3 linked regions of the Rattus norvegicus genome follow. The protein of the gene in region 3 binds, or shares a complex with, the protein of the main gene of each other region. Links are inferred from orthologs where the notes say so. Each region holds a gene or a part of one and is shown on either strand. Other genes may lie near its edges.

Region 1 (4,257 bases), on a different chromosome or scaffold from region 3:
TGTGTTGTGGTTACAGTTCACTGGCTTCTTCCGGGATGTACATGCCCTTTAGCTGTCTTCACTGTGTTTGGCTGGGTGTGTTGGCTCATGCCATAATCCCAGAACTGGAGAGGCTGAGGTAGGACTAGTAAGTATTTCAGACCAGCCAGAGCTACACAGTGAGACCCTGTCTGAAACAATCCCAACCAAAACAGAAAAATTACTAAGTATCTCAAGCTTTAGAATGCAGTTATTTCATTAGTCTCAACTGCTCAAGAACTTACAGTCCGTTAAACATAAAAGCCCCCCAAAACCAAAAAACCCACAATTCCATCATCAAAGTGCTCACAAAGATTCTCTTGCATATTATAAACTATTTTATGATTTAGGAGAAAGGAAAGTTGAGGACACTGGCCTCCACCTTTAATCCCACTGTGTGGGAGGTGGAGGCAGAAGGATGAGTTCAGGGCCATCCTCCTTAGAGAGCAAGTTTGAACCCAGCTTAGACTGCCTGAGATCCCACCTCAAAAAAAGAGGCTATAAAACATGTAAAGAAATAGACTCGGGGGGATTAGGAGTTTGTGCAAATAAACAGAACAAGACTTAAACACTTAAGTAACTATACCTGCAGCTAACCAGTACTGGCATTTCTTCCAGATACCCTGACGTGGATGTATGCTAATGTATACATTCTTTTTCTTCTTGTAAGCAAAACTTTAATCCCAAGGATTCTCACAAACATATTACAAATGACAGCATGAAAAAGAATCTCGCACAGTAACTGAGAAGTTCAGCTCTACAATGTACCCTACACTGACAGGGCACTGGTGTCTTGGTTTTACATTTCCAAATAAAGAAAGCTCTGCATCGCATGCAGCAGCCAGGAAGGAGCCGCTCTGAAAGCCTTCAGAGTGTGGTTCCCACCCTTTCTCTGTGGGCTGCGTTCACAGCAGCTTTTAGAGATGGCTCACCATTTGACCCGCACGAAGGGCCACACTGTCTCTGCTGCTAGAGGGACTACAGCTTTAGTCAACTCCCGCCAGTCGCTTTATACATCATCAGTACATCACACTTAAAACTGGGCAGGACCTAGGTTTATTTCAGTCTATGAAAAACTAAAATTCAAAAAAGATCCAATCTCGCTTCAGGGAACATTGTAAACTAATAATTCTTGATATTATATGCCTCATACGATCCATTTGAAACCACAGAAAATTACAATGTTTTGTGTCACTGTTCCAAGAGACAAAACACATTTGAAACATCTTAAAAATGCACCAAGCTTATGAAGTTTCAAACAAAACTTAATTTCCTGTACATATTTCCTGTCAAATGAAGTTATTTCCTGTACACCACTTTGCAAACTGGTCTTTTATTTCCTTTCATTTGCCCTAGATCGCCTATAAGACCTAGAGAAGGATCTAGACGGCCTGTGATTTCTCTCATGAGACAGAGACCTTTCTCTTCTCCTATCTCTAGAAAGTGACCTGCTCTGGCTTCAGGAAGATTCTCCTTCTTGGGGATCTGTGGAGAGGTGGTGGGGGACTCCTCCTGCGGGAGTCATCTCGAGGACGATGACCCCAAGAGGTAGGCAGGCCGCGATTCCGACTTCTCTTTTCACCGTTCAACAGTTCCACTCTTAGGTGGCAGCCACATAGCGTTCTTCCATAGCTCGTGGACAGCATCCGCAGCATCTTGGGGATCCTCAAATTCGAGGAAAGCTAAGCCAGGAGGGTTTAGAGCAACCTACACCCTTCACAGTGGTCCATAATAGCCAAAAGCCCATTCTAATTCAGTCTTGTTCCCATTGTTTCCAAGATTACCTACATAAACCTTACAGTCCAAGGGACAGTAATCACGATGCATTTTGAGATCCTGGATTCAACAGGCCCAAGCTCAAATCCTAAAGCTCTGACAGGCCCACCCACTTCCCTGTGGCTCTGCTCCCACAGATGCTTTCGGTTCCATAGCGTGAACGAAATGGCCTTTACATTCTTTAGATGCATGGCAACACACAGGACCCACAACTGGTTTAGAAACAACTAAAGCGTAATTTATTCTCACACGTTTGTATGCTTTTGAGAACTTTTCCTAACATAATGCTAAGTCTTCATTTTACGTTTCTCGTATTTTCCCATACTATCTCCTCTAATCTTCCTAAATATTTTACAAACTAGGGCAGCATCCACTGATAATTCTTAATCAATAGGGTGGGAGGCTAATGATCACCTCATTGACTATTTTGTGCGAGGCCTCGGGGCTCCATGTAACTGTACTGAACTAAGGAATCCTAGTCTGAATCCAAAGCCCAGACAATCTCCGTCGCCATTCTTTCCCGCTGTAATTCTCGCCACGACCCTTTTGTGTCCAGCATCTGGTTGACCTGTGATTACTGGAAACGCTAAACTTGAACGCGGCCATCAGAAACCACACTGCCCGATGGAGAGTGAAAGTGGTGGAGGATTTCTCTTAGAAGATCTCAGTTAACCAGGAGTCTCGACCCAGGGGAGCAGAGCCTACCCTGAATGGGCAGAAGACAGTGTTACCAAGCTGTCTCCACACTGACCGACAGGCCGGACTTTGGGGATCTTTGGGTCTGTTGGGTTAGCACGGAGGAAGGAGAGACGGCTTCAGACAGATGACTCTCGCAGGGAGCTCAGCACCTGGCTGCCGTCTCCGGATCCCTTTACTCACCTTCTTGATGTTGGATTTGGAAGCAGGATGAAAGTCCTTTTTACACATGAAATTGGCGAATGACTTCCCCATCTTGGAGTCTGAGCCAGAGAAGCCAACTGCTAAGTCTGTGAGGAACGTAAACAAACTCCCGGAGCGTCACCGGAACTGTTAAGCGAGCATGGGCGAGAACTTCCGAGGTCGGAGGTGACTACTTCCGTAGATTAGCGTTAGGGGCCGCCCCTCCTGCTCTCTTCCGGTAGTTGCTTCTCGTCGCTGTTACCCGGCGTCCGCGCGTGCGCAGCAGAGGTAAGCTCAGGCGTCCGCTCTGCGCGTCGTTCGCACTCTGCAGGGTCGCGAGCGGCGGTGGGCTCTAGGGCGCCAGCATCGTTCTGAGCGCAGACGTCCCGAACAAGCGAGGTCTTGAAGTTCGAGCCCAGCACTTTCTGGCAACGTCGACTCCAGTTGCAAAATTTTTCTTTTGCGGCGCTGTTCCTATGTAGATAATGGAGATAGTTTTACGCCAACCGTAGGACGTTTGTGAGATTAGTGTTACCAAAAGCACGGGAATAGACTGAACCGAGGCTCTTCCTTTCCAATTACTGTTATTGTTTAATAATTGTTATTATTACTATGTATCTTTGATACGTGGTCTCGCCATATAGCGTTGGCTGTCCTTGACCTAACAGATCTGCCTGTCTTTCCCGACCCAGTGCTGGGATTAAAGGCCTGCGCCAATACACGCCTGCATTTGCCTCCCCAGTGCTGTAATTAAAGGCCAATACACGCAGCTTCCTTGGGTTATTTCTAGCTATGTGGAAATGTTCAGCAAAAATCGTGAATGATAAGAACCCGTTAGGGCCAAGTGCTTTCTTCCCTGAGCGCTGGTTTCTTAGTTGTTGCCGCCATCCCAGTTCGTGTAGGCAAGGGCATAGTCCACCGGTCTCTAGCGAGGATAAGAACACGCCAAATTACAACAGATGACAGCTTTCGTTTGGGAGTTGGCGGTGTTCCAGGAGTTTTATCGTGTGTTATTTGTGACTCAAAAGAAAAACAGTGATACCTCTTCCCATCTTTGAGATGGAGAAGACTCTTCACTTATTGTGTGATAGACTTGTTTCTTGAGTCATTTTGTTCATTTTGAAACATAGGGTAGCCTTAAACTCTAGTTCATTCTGCTGAGTGCTGAGATTACAGTGTGCTACCATATCCTGCTTTGTTTTGCTTTCAATAAAACATTTACTGTGTTTATATTTTTTTATTTTTCTTAAATAGTTAGAATGCTCCTCTATAAAACTGTGCTACAAATTGTTTCTTCTTGTTTGTTTTTCAAGACAGGGTTTCTCTGTGCAGCCCTGGGTGTCACTCTGTAGGCCAAAGATCTGCCTGCCTCTGCTTCCCAAGTTCTGGGATCAAAGGTGTGCACCACCATCCCCAGCAAGATTTGGTTCTTATAAAAGAAGGGAACTGGGTTAGAGAGCTCAGTGGTTAAGATAGCTCATTACTTTTCCCAAAGACTTCAGTTCAATTCCTAATACACAGGTGTGCTTGCACAATGCCTCACAACCTCTAACTCCAGGTCCAGGGCGTTTGAGGCCCACTTCT
Region 2 (4,379 bases), on a different chromosome or scaffold from region 3:
TAACATGAATTAGATCACTCTGCTAAAAAGATATCACTGATCTGTATGGCACTTCACATGACTTCATTTACAAAATCAGACCTGTAATTTATGAAACAATTCCATCTTTGGGGAATACATATTATAAACTTTTGGAGAAATAAAAGGGGAAGTTGTATATCAAGAACTATAAGACTGTCATCTGAGATTTAATATTAATATAAAGCCAACTTACTGGCTGTATTTAATTTTGAGATTTCTCAGATGCTTTAAATGGTTAAATATTTACAGAACGGTTTTGGAGTTGCCAGTGTGATTATGATTGACAATTCACTATAGAAAACCCTGCGGTCTACCTCTGGAGTGTCGATGTCCTGAACAGGTGAGTCTCCTCCATCATCATCGCTCCCTTTCCTCTTCCTTCTGTTTCGAACACTCTGAATTAGGTTCTTATGATAGTCACAAATGTAAAGATGCCTTGCCTGGAAAGGACAAAGAAAGGTTAAAAGACTGTGAGTCCAGAAAACTAAGGTCAGTAAACTGCACAGGCCCAGGCAGCTCACTAAAAACAGTCTAATGGCACTGGCAAGAGGATGCATGTTTCTTTCCAATACTAAACTGCTGTAACATTAGCAATCTGTGATACTGTTAAGGAGATTGGGGGAGGGGTGTAGTAGAAAGTGATGGGCTGGTAGGAAGAATGGTTGGAGAACTCAGGCAGGCACCTGGCAGGCAGACAAGCAGAGGAAGAGAAATTCCAATCCTCTGTGTTTTGTCACCAAATTGCATCGAGGGTGACCTAAATAAGTTAGCTCCTGCTGGTTTTGACTTAAGGGGAGAGGTGACATTGCCCACAATTTTGTACTTGTTAGTATTTTCTCTAACTTGAGAACAGCAAATTATATTAATGGCACATATGCTTCCTTATCTTTCTAATTAGATAGTCAAATTCTACACAGATACAAAGTATGCATTTTTTTACGAATGTGTCATTGAATTCATATTCATATCCTATGTTTAAATTTCAAGCCCCAAGGTTTCTTTTCAAGAATTAAATGAATGCATTTCACTGTATTATGTTGTTTTCAATTAAAGCAAATTGAAATTATTCACGTTCACTTACAAAGTTTCTCATGGACCCTACTGAGAAACTGCCCAAACAGAATCACAAATAAACTTTTCAAAAAAATGTAATTACTCAGGCATTTGAGAGTTATATACGGTGGGATAGAAAGTACTGAGCTGGTTGACACTCTCCCCCTCCCCGCTTTTAAGGCTACAATTAAAGGCCGAATGAACAGGCTTTTCAATTGACTTCTAAGCTAAGGGCAAGTTAAAAATATACAGGATGTGTGGAGGTTCTGTATCTTGTTCTTCCTTTGCCATCAGTCAGAGCTCTGAAAAGTAGTAGTGGAATTCTCTGAAACCTCATAGCTGGCCAAAACAGCAGACGTGCATAAAGACAGAAAAAGAAATCCCGATGGCTGCCGAGAGGGTTGTAAAACCGCAGAGGCTTATTTGCAGCCTTGGTTCAGAGCAGCTGCCCGAAGAGCTGACACCGCAAACGCCGTTTACAACCATCTCTCTGCAAGGCAACTGGTGAGCTCGGCTTCCCTGCCTGTGTTCAAGAGAAAGAGAACACCGAGGAGGAAAGAAAAAGAAAAGGGGGGGGGGGCAGAAGGAAGGGGAGAGAGAGAGAGAGAGAGAGAGAGAGAGAGAAAGAGAGAGAGAGAGAGAGAGAGAGAGAGAGAGAGAGAGAGAGAGAGAGAGAGAGAGAGAGAGAGAGAGAGAGAGAGAGAGAGAGAGAGAGAGAGAGAGAGAGAGAAGCATTGTGGGATCCAGCCAGACTCTACTTTCCCTAGAGGAACAGAGCTACAGAGCTGCTCCCTGGGGCAGACACCGGCTCTGGCAGCAAAACAAAGGCGCCTCCATTCCAGAAGGGACTACACGGCTGCGAGAAAACTACTTGGTGTCGCGGTCCCCTTTGTTTCGTTTCCAGATCGCAGCAAAGGAGGAAGAGGGAAGCCTGGCGTGGGAGACACGCGAGGCAGCGGGAGTCCGGGTGAGGGGAGGAGGGGACCCGCACCACTGCGCGAGCGCGCGCTGGGGGGAAGGTGGCCGGAGTTGCAGGGACTTTGTTTCAATCAGAGAACCACTAATCCCACCTGCAGCCCAGTCTCAGAGACTCGTGAACCCCGCCAAAGATCGGGCAGGGCACGCAGGATAAGGCAGGGCAGGGCGGTCCCGGGGCCACTTACACTCTTATCCAGCTCGATCTTCACCTTCTTCTGGGAGATGCTCTTCTGGATCCTCTTGCTGAAGCTGGCGTTGCCTGCCGCTCGCCCGCACCGCTCACCGTCCTCACGCAAACAACAGAGTTGCCCGGGGCCCGGACCGGCCGCTCCAGGTGGCCCAGAAGCGGACACCGCACCGGCACCGGGTACCTCTGCCCCACCGCCGGCAGCGTTCCCATTCCCCGCCGAGGCGGCGGCAGCTGCAGCAGCGACCACAGCGGCCACGGCGGCGGCCGCATCCCCGCCTCGGCTCATCTCCTCCGGAGTGAAGCCGTTCATGTCTGCCAGTTCGGGGGCGCCGGCGCCGCTACAGAGCCCCGCTCGCCGCGCCGCTCCGCCTCCTTCCCCGGGGCGGCCGTTCACTCCGCACCCCAAGTCTGGCGGCCGCACGGTCCGACGCCCAGAGTCCAAAGCCTGCCGGTCTGCCGGTGCTGGAATAGCGGCCCGTTCCTGTGACTGTGATCAGGACTGGAGTGGCGCCTAGAAACGGGACCCCACTCACTGTCACATGGAGACTTCAGCAGTTGGACCGAAGCTTCTCCGCCTCCTTCTAGCCCCAGAACCTGCGCGAGGGAGACGCCCCTCCTCCGGCCCCGCCCCTCCCCTGCCGCGAGGCCCCACGGGAATGGTAGTTCTTGGTCGCGGAGCCAACTTGCGCTCTGTTCTGATTACGTGCGGGACCGACGGGACAAACTACTCGTCCCAGCATGCATCGCGCGGCGAGCCACCCGTGGGTCTTTTTTTTTTTTTTTTTTTTTTTTTCTATTCCAAGCACTGGGCAAATCTGACTGTGAGGTCAGGCGTTTACCGTGTTTTCTCGTCTCTGTACTGTCATGCGAGCAAGGGCTGGATTTAGCTCCTGTTTCTTCGCAAAGTTAGTGTTCAGACCGCCAGCTGACTCCTAGAAAGAAGCCTAAATATGTGTGTGTGTGTGTGTGTGTGTGTGTGTGTGTGTGTGTGTGTGTGTGTGTGGTGGGTTAGTAAAGATTAAGTGAGAAAAAGTTTACGGGCTGTTGGTATTTATGGAAAAACTCGCGCTACCTAGAGCTCTTTAGGCGCAGAGTCCTACGTCTCCATCTCCGTGCCGCAGCTGATTTCTAGAGCGTGTCAGGTCCTCGGTACACTCGTGTGCCAACCGGTTGACAGGCATTGGGCTGCCTGTCGCCTCTACTGCAGCTTGGATCCCTTTCAAAAGGATCTAAGAGGATTTGAGACCATTTAAAGGAACCACACTAGTATCACCTTTGCTGACTGCTCCTCAAAAACTTCTCTGCGCTGGCTGTAGAGGACGAGGACGGAGAACCCTCTTCTCTTGAGTCATATATATATGCATGTGTGTGCGCTTATGTGTGTCGCGGGTGGGGTAGTTTGCGCGCGTGCGCGCCTGGGTACGTGTTTGTGCCCGCGTAGCGTGTATTCTTGCCTGCGCTTGTGGTGGGCGGGGTGGAGGGATGGGCGTGGCCATGCCAACCCTGCACCTCTGCTAATTATTGGACTATTTAGCAATCCTACTGATTAAGCAAAAATAATGCATTTCAGGTGGAGTTTTGAAAGAAAGCCTTTTTAAGATTTTGTCAATTCAGTGACTATGTACATATATGTGTGTATGTATATATGTATGTATATGTATGTATATATCAACATGGCAAAAATAAAAGTTATCCATGTTATCTGTGTATGGAGGGCACACTTGTGATCCAGATCTTGAGACTGAAAGACACAGGCTTTTGATCTGGATCTTGAGGAATAGAGGCCATGAAAAGCTTAGGTCCAAGCATGGTAGTACATACCTTTAATGCAAAGAGACAAAGCCAAGCAGATCTCTGAGTTCAAGACCAGCTTGGGACAGAGCAAATTCCGAGTAGTTAAATCCAACCATGGGCTGGAGAGATGGCTCAGAGGTTAAGAGCACTGACTGCTCTTCCAGAGGTCCTGAGTTCAATTCCCAGCAACCACATGGTGGCTCACAACCATCTGTAATGGAATCCAACGCCCTCTTCTGGTGTGTCTGTGGATGGCTATAGTGTACTCCTATAAAAATAAATAAATAAATAAATAAATAAATAAATAAATAAATAAATAAAAAATCCAACCATGGTAGTACAT
Region 3 (3,645 bases):
GAAAGGGCTGAGCAGCCACATGTGTTTCCATAGTGACCAGTGGCCATCACCTCGAGGGAAGCAGGAGCAACAGGTGAGGGGCAAATGGTGGCTTCTGTAGCTGGGTTAGACAGGCTTTGGAAGTGGATGAAAAGACAATGCCATCCATCTCAGGTTAAAGGCAGCATACTGGCAAGGATGCTGGGTGACATGAGGGCCAGCCAGGACCATCTGGCAGGCTGTAGTAGCCCCACTGGCCCTTAGTCAGTTTTGTGTACTTCCTATGTCATCAGGAGCCACTCTTCTCCCTAGCTGCTCCTTATCTTGGAGCTACCAACTCTGTATGCTCAGGTATCTGGCACAATTTTTCACTGAGGCCTGCTGGGGACAGGGGTCCCCAAAAGCCAAAATGTCCTTGGAAAGCATAATCATAGCTAGGGAACTCAGCCAAGATGGGTGCTTCTCCAGCTGCTGTTTCCTAAGAAAATCCCAAACCAGAAACACCCAGAGGTCCTCACTCTAGAAGCCTTGGTTTGAACCCACGGTCAGCACTGGCTGAGCCCTTATCAGGCCTAATGGTGTGAGTGCTGGTGACAGCACTGATATTGACAGCCCAAGTCTTGACCCTGGTCAGCAATGACCCAAAATTTGCAGAGCTGGGATGTGGGAGAAGAAGGAACTGAGGGCCCAGGCAGGAAGGTATGTCAGAGCTAAGACCTGGAAGAAGAGGAAGGCCGGCAGGGAGGAAGGAACAGTAGAAGATATGAAAGTCATTATGATTTCAGTGATGGATCTCCCTTATTATCTTTATTACTGGACCCTGTGTCAGTGCTAGGCCAGTGGTGGCTCATAAAAGACACAGGCCTCTGGGAGAACACATTATTGTTGCCACAATACTCTTGTTTCTTGCTCCCATTCTTTTTTTTCCTTTTTTTTATGATTTTCTTTTCTTTTTTCCTTTTAAGATTTATTTATTTTATTTATTTGAGTACACTGTAACTGTCTTCAGACACACCAGAAGAGGGCATCAGATTCCATTACAGATGGTTGGGAGCCACCATTAGGATGCTGAGAATTGAACTCAGGACCTCTATAAGATCTGTCCGTGCTCTTAACCACTAAGCCATCTCTCCAGCCCTCTTTTTTTCCTTTTAATACATTTTTTGTTGTTTTCTAGGTTTTTATTTGTTTGTTTGCTTGCTTGCTTATTTATTTTGTGAGACAAGGTCTCTATTATAGCCTTGCCTTACCTTGAACTTGCTATGTAAATGGGGATAACCTTTTACTCCACTTTGCTTCTGCCTCCTGTGTGCTGAGATCAAAGGCATACACCCTGTATCTGACTCTCACTCTTGGAATGCTTGGCACTTGAGCCACTGAACTGCCCCAGTGTCTTCCTATATGACTGTATGAGGAGGCCCCTGAGCCTCAGGATGGCACCATACTGAGTATGTTAGTCAGTTCTGGCTCATGTGGGTCTGGGCTATGAATAGAAGAAGGTTCTACTCAGCTTCCTGTGCTAACCCTGGGTATGGCCATGGCAGACATATATATCCTCCTCCTCTCTGTCCCTATGAGAAGCCCCATTTTCCCTTCCCTGAACAAGCTGAAGACTGAGTTAGTATAACAGATGGTCTCAGGTGACACCTGTGGTTCTGTCCTCTCTTCTTTAGGGACAAGAAAAAGACGGGGAAGAGAGAGACAGCAAGGAGAGCAGCCAATACAGAAAGAGGAAGAAGCGGCCCCAGCCCAAGGCCCTGTTTGCCCCTCCTGCACCCTCTGCCCTTGGGGAGCCAGGCCCAGGAGGGTGCCACCAGAGCTGCCTACGCTCTCCTGTGTTCCTGGTGGACCACCTCCTCAAGGGCTTGTTTCAGTGTTCTCCCTACACACCACCACCTATGCTTAGCCCAATTCGTGAGGGCTCCGGGCTGTACTTCAATACACTCTGCTCCACATCCAGGGCTGGGCCCCACCTTGTCAGCCCTGTACTTGGTGAGTGAGGCCAGAAAGCTACTCTATTCCAGGCTAAGGTGCTTCTCCTATGGCCCACAATCCCTGTGCTTTGCTGTATATGATCCAGCCATTCTTTCCAGCCTTGTATGTGCCTGTTCTGGGGGGACTCAGTGCTACTCAGAAACATACCAAGATGATTCTTCTAGATGTTTGATTGGTTTAGTTTGGCTTTGGTTTTGGTTTTAACATCCAGAAAGAACACATAGAAGCCCTTCAGCCTAATCCCTCTTGTATTCATTTTATAACCACTCTATGGATACAGAGATACACACCATGCAGATCAGCCATTTCAAGCTTGTGCTTTGAGCTTATTCTCTAGCCGCTGAGCTTCCCTGCACACAATCTTTAGAGGGTTTTTGCCATCCAAGAAGCCTGTTTTCTGGGCGGCTACACCACCCTTTTGGCTTTCATTCTCACAGTCCTATGTATCTCCCAGCCTCAGGGAGCCACTCTAATTCCTGTCCCTATAGCCTTTCCTATGCTGGTTATTTCATATAAGTGACATCATACAACTGTGGCTTTTTATGTATCCCCCATTTTACTTAGTTTATGTGTTCAGGGTTCACCAGGTGGTTGTGTGTGTCAGAACTTTTTTTTTTTTTAATCAGTGAGTAATAGTCTACTCAATGGCCAGACCACTCTTTTTAATTATCAGTTGGTAGGTATGGGTATTGTTTTCCTTTTGGCTATTGTAAATAATACTGTAACAACACTTGTGTATAACTTCCTGTGGGGGTCTATGTACCAATTCCTTTTGTGTAAATACCTAGAAAGAAATGCTGGGTTACATGGAAACTCTATTTAACCATATAGGAAACTGCCAAACTGTCTGCCAGAGTATTTGTTCCATTTTGGATTCCTGCCAACAATCGGGAGAGTCTGGATACCTCTGCCCCTTACCTGCACTTACAGGCTGTGATTCTTTCTAGCCACCCAGTCAGATGAAAGATGCCTATTGTTATGTTTAGATTTGTATTACCCTAGTGGCTACTGGTGCCAAGAATCTTGCTGGGTGTTCATTGACTATTGGTGTGTCCTTCTTTATAAACTAAGGAGATCTGGCTATTCTCCTAATGTGCACTGGGTTTTATATGTGACCACTTGACTGGCACAGAGTAATGAAGAGCCATTCCTGTTTACTCTGTTGGCAGGCAGGCCTTGAGTTCACACCCCTCCTACCTCAGCCTCCGGAGTAGTTAGACACATAGTATTATATTTTTTGAGAGTTTTATAATTTTGGTTGGTTGGTTTGGTTTGGCTTGGTTTGGCTTGGCTTGGATTTTCAAGACAGGATCTCTCTGTCTAGCACTGACTGTCCCGGAACTCACTCTAGATCAGGCTGGCCTCTAACTCATAGAAATTCACCCGCCTCTGCCTCCCAAGGGTTGAAACTAAAGGCATGTGCCACCACTGCCCAGCTATAATTTTGACTTTTAAATTTATATCTTTTTTTTATTTATTCATTTTATATATGATGAGTACACTGTAGCTGTCTTCAGACACACCAGAAGAGGGCATCAGACCCCATTACAGATGGTTGTGAGCCACCATGTGGTTGCTGGGATTTGAACTCAGGACCTCTGGAAGAGCAGTCGGTGCTCTTAACCACTGAGCCATCTCTCCAGCCCTTAAATTTATATCTTTAATCAATTT

Evidence for each region. Proteins that work in one complex are often made in the same cells at the same time.
Region 1: Zfp541 (region 3) and Cir1 share a complex: the UniProt entries of both Homo sapiens proteins name them as parts of the histone deacetylase complex. The link is inferred for Rattus norvegicus from reciprocal best matches to the Homo sapiens genes ZNF541 and CIRSR.
Region 2: Zfp541 (region 3) and Sap30 share a complex: the UniProt entries of both Homo sapiens proteins name them as parts of the histone deacetylase complex. The link is inferred for Rattus norvegicus from reciprocal best matches to the Homo sapiens genes ZNF541 and SAP30.

Annotation. Positions count from the first base shown.
Region 1 is NC_086021.1:78,593,485-78,597,741, forward strand, and holds the start of Cir1 (corepressor interacting with RBPJ 1), read right to left. Parts: upstream 2,826-4,257; 5' UTR 2,746-2,825; coding exon 2,674-2,745; intron 1-2,673. UniProt on the Homo sapiens protein: May modulate splice site selection during alternative splicing of pre-mRNAs. Regulates transcription and acts as corepressor for RBPJ. Recruits RBPJ to the Sin3-histone deacetylase complex (HDAC). Required for RBPJ-mediated repression of transcription.
Region 2 is NC_086034.1:37,756,940-37,761,318, reverse strand, and holds the start of Sap30 (histone deacetylase complex subunit SAP30), read right to left. Parts: upstream 2,826-4,379; 5' UTR 2,553-2,825; coding exon 2,238-2,552; intron 462-2,237; coding exon 336-461; intron 1-335. UniProt on the Homo sapiens protein: Involved in the functional recruitment of the Sin3-histone deacetylase complex (HDAC) to a specific subset of N-CoR corepressor complexes. Capable of transcription repression by N-CoR.
Region 3 is NC_086019.1:85,898,861-85,902,505, forward strand, and holds part of Zfp541 (zinc finger protein 541), read left to right. Parts: coding exon 1-73; intron 74-1,652; coding exon 1,653-1,971; intron 1,972-3,645. UniProt on the Homo sapiens protein: Transcription regulator which is essential for male fertility and for the completion of meiotic prophase in spermatocytes.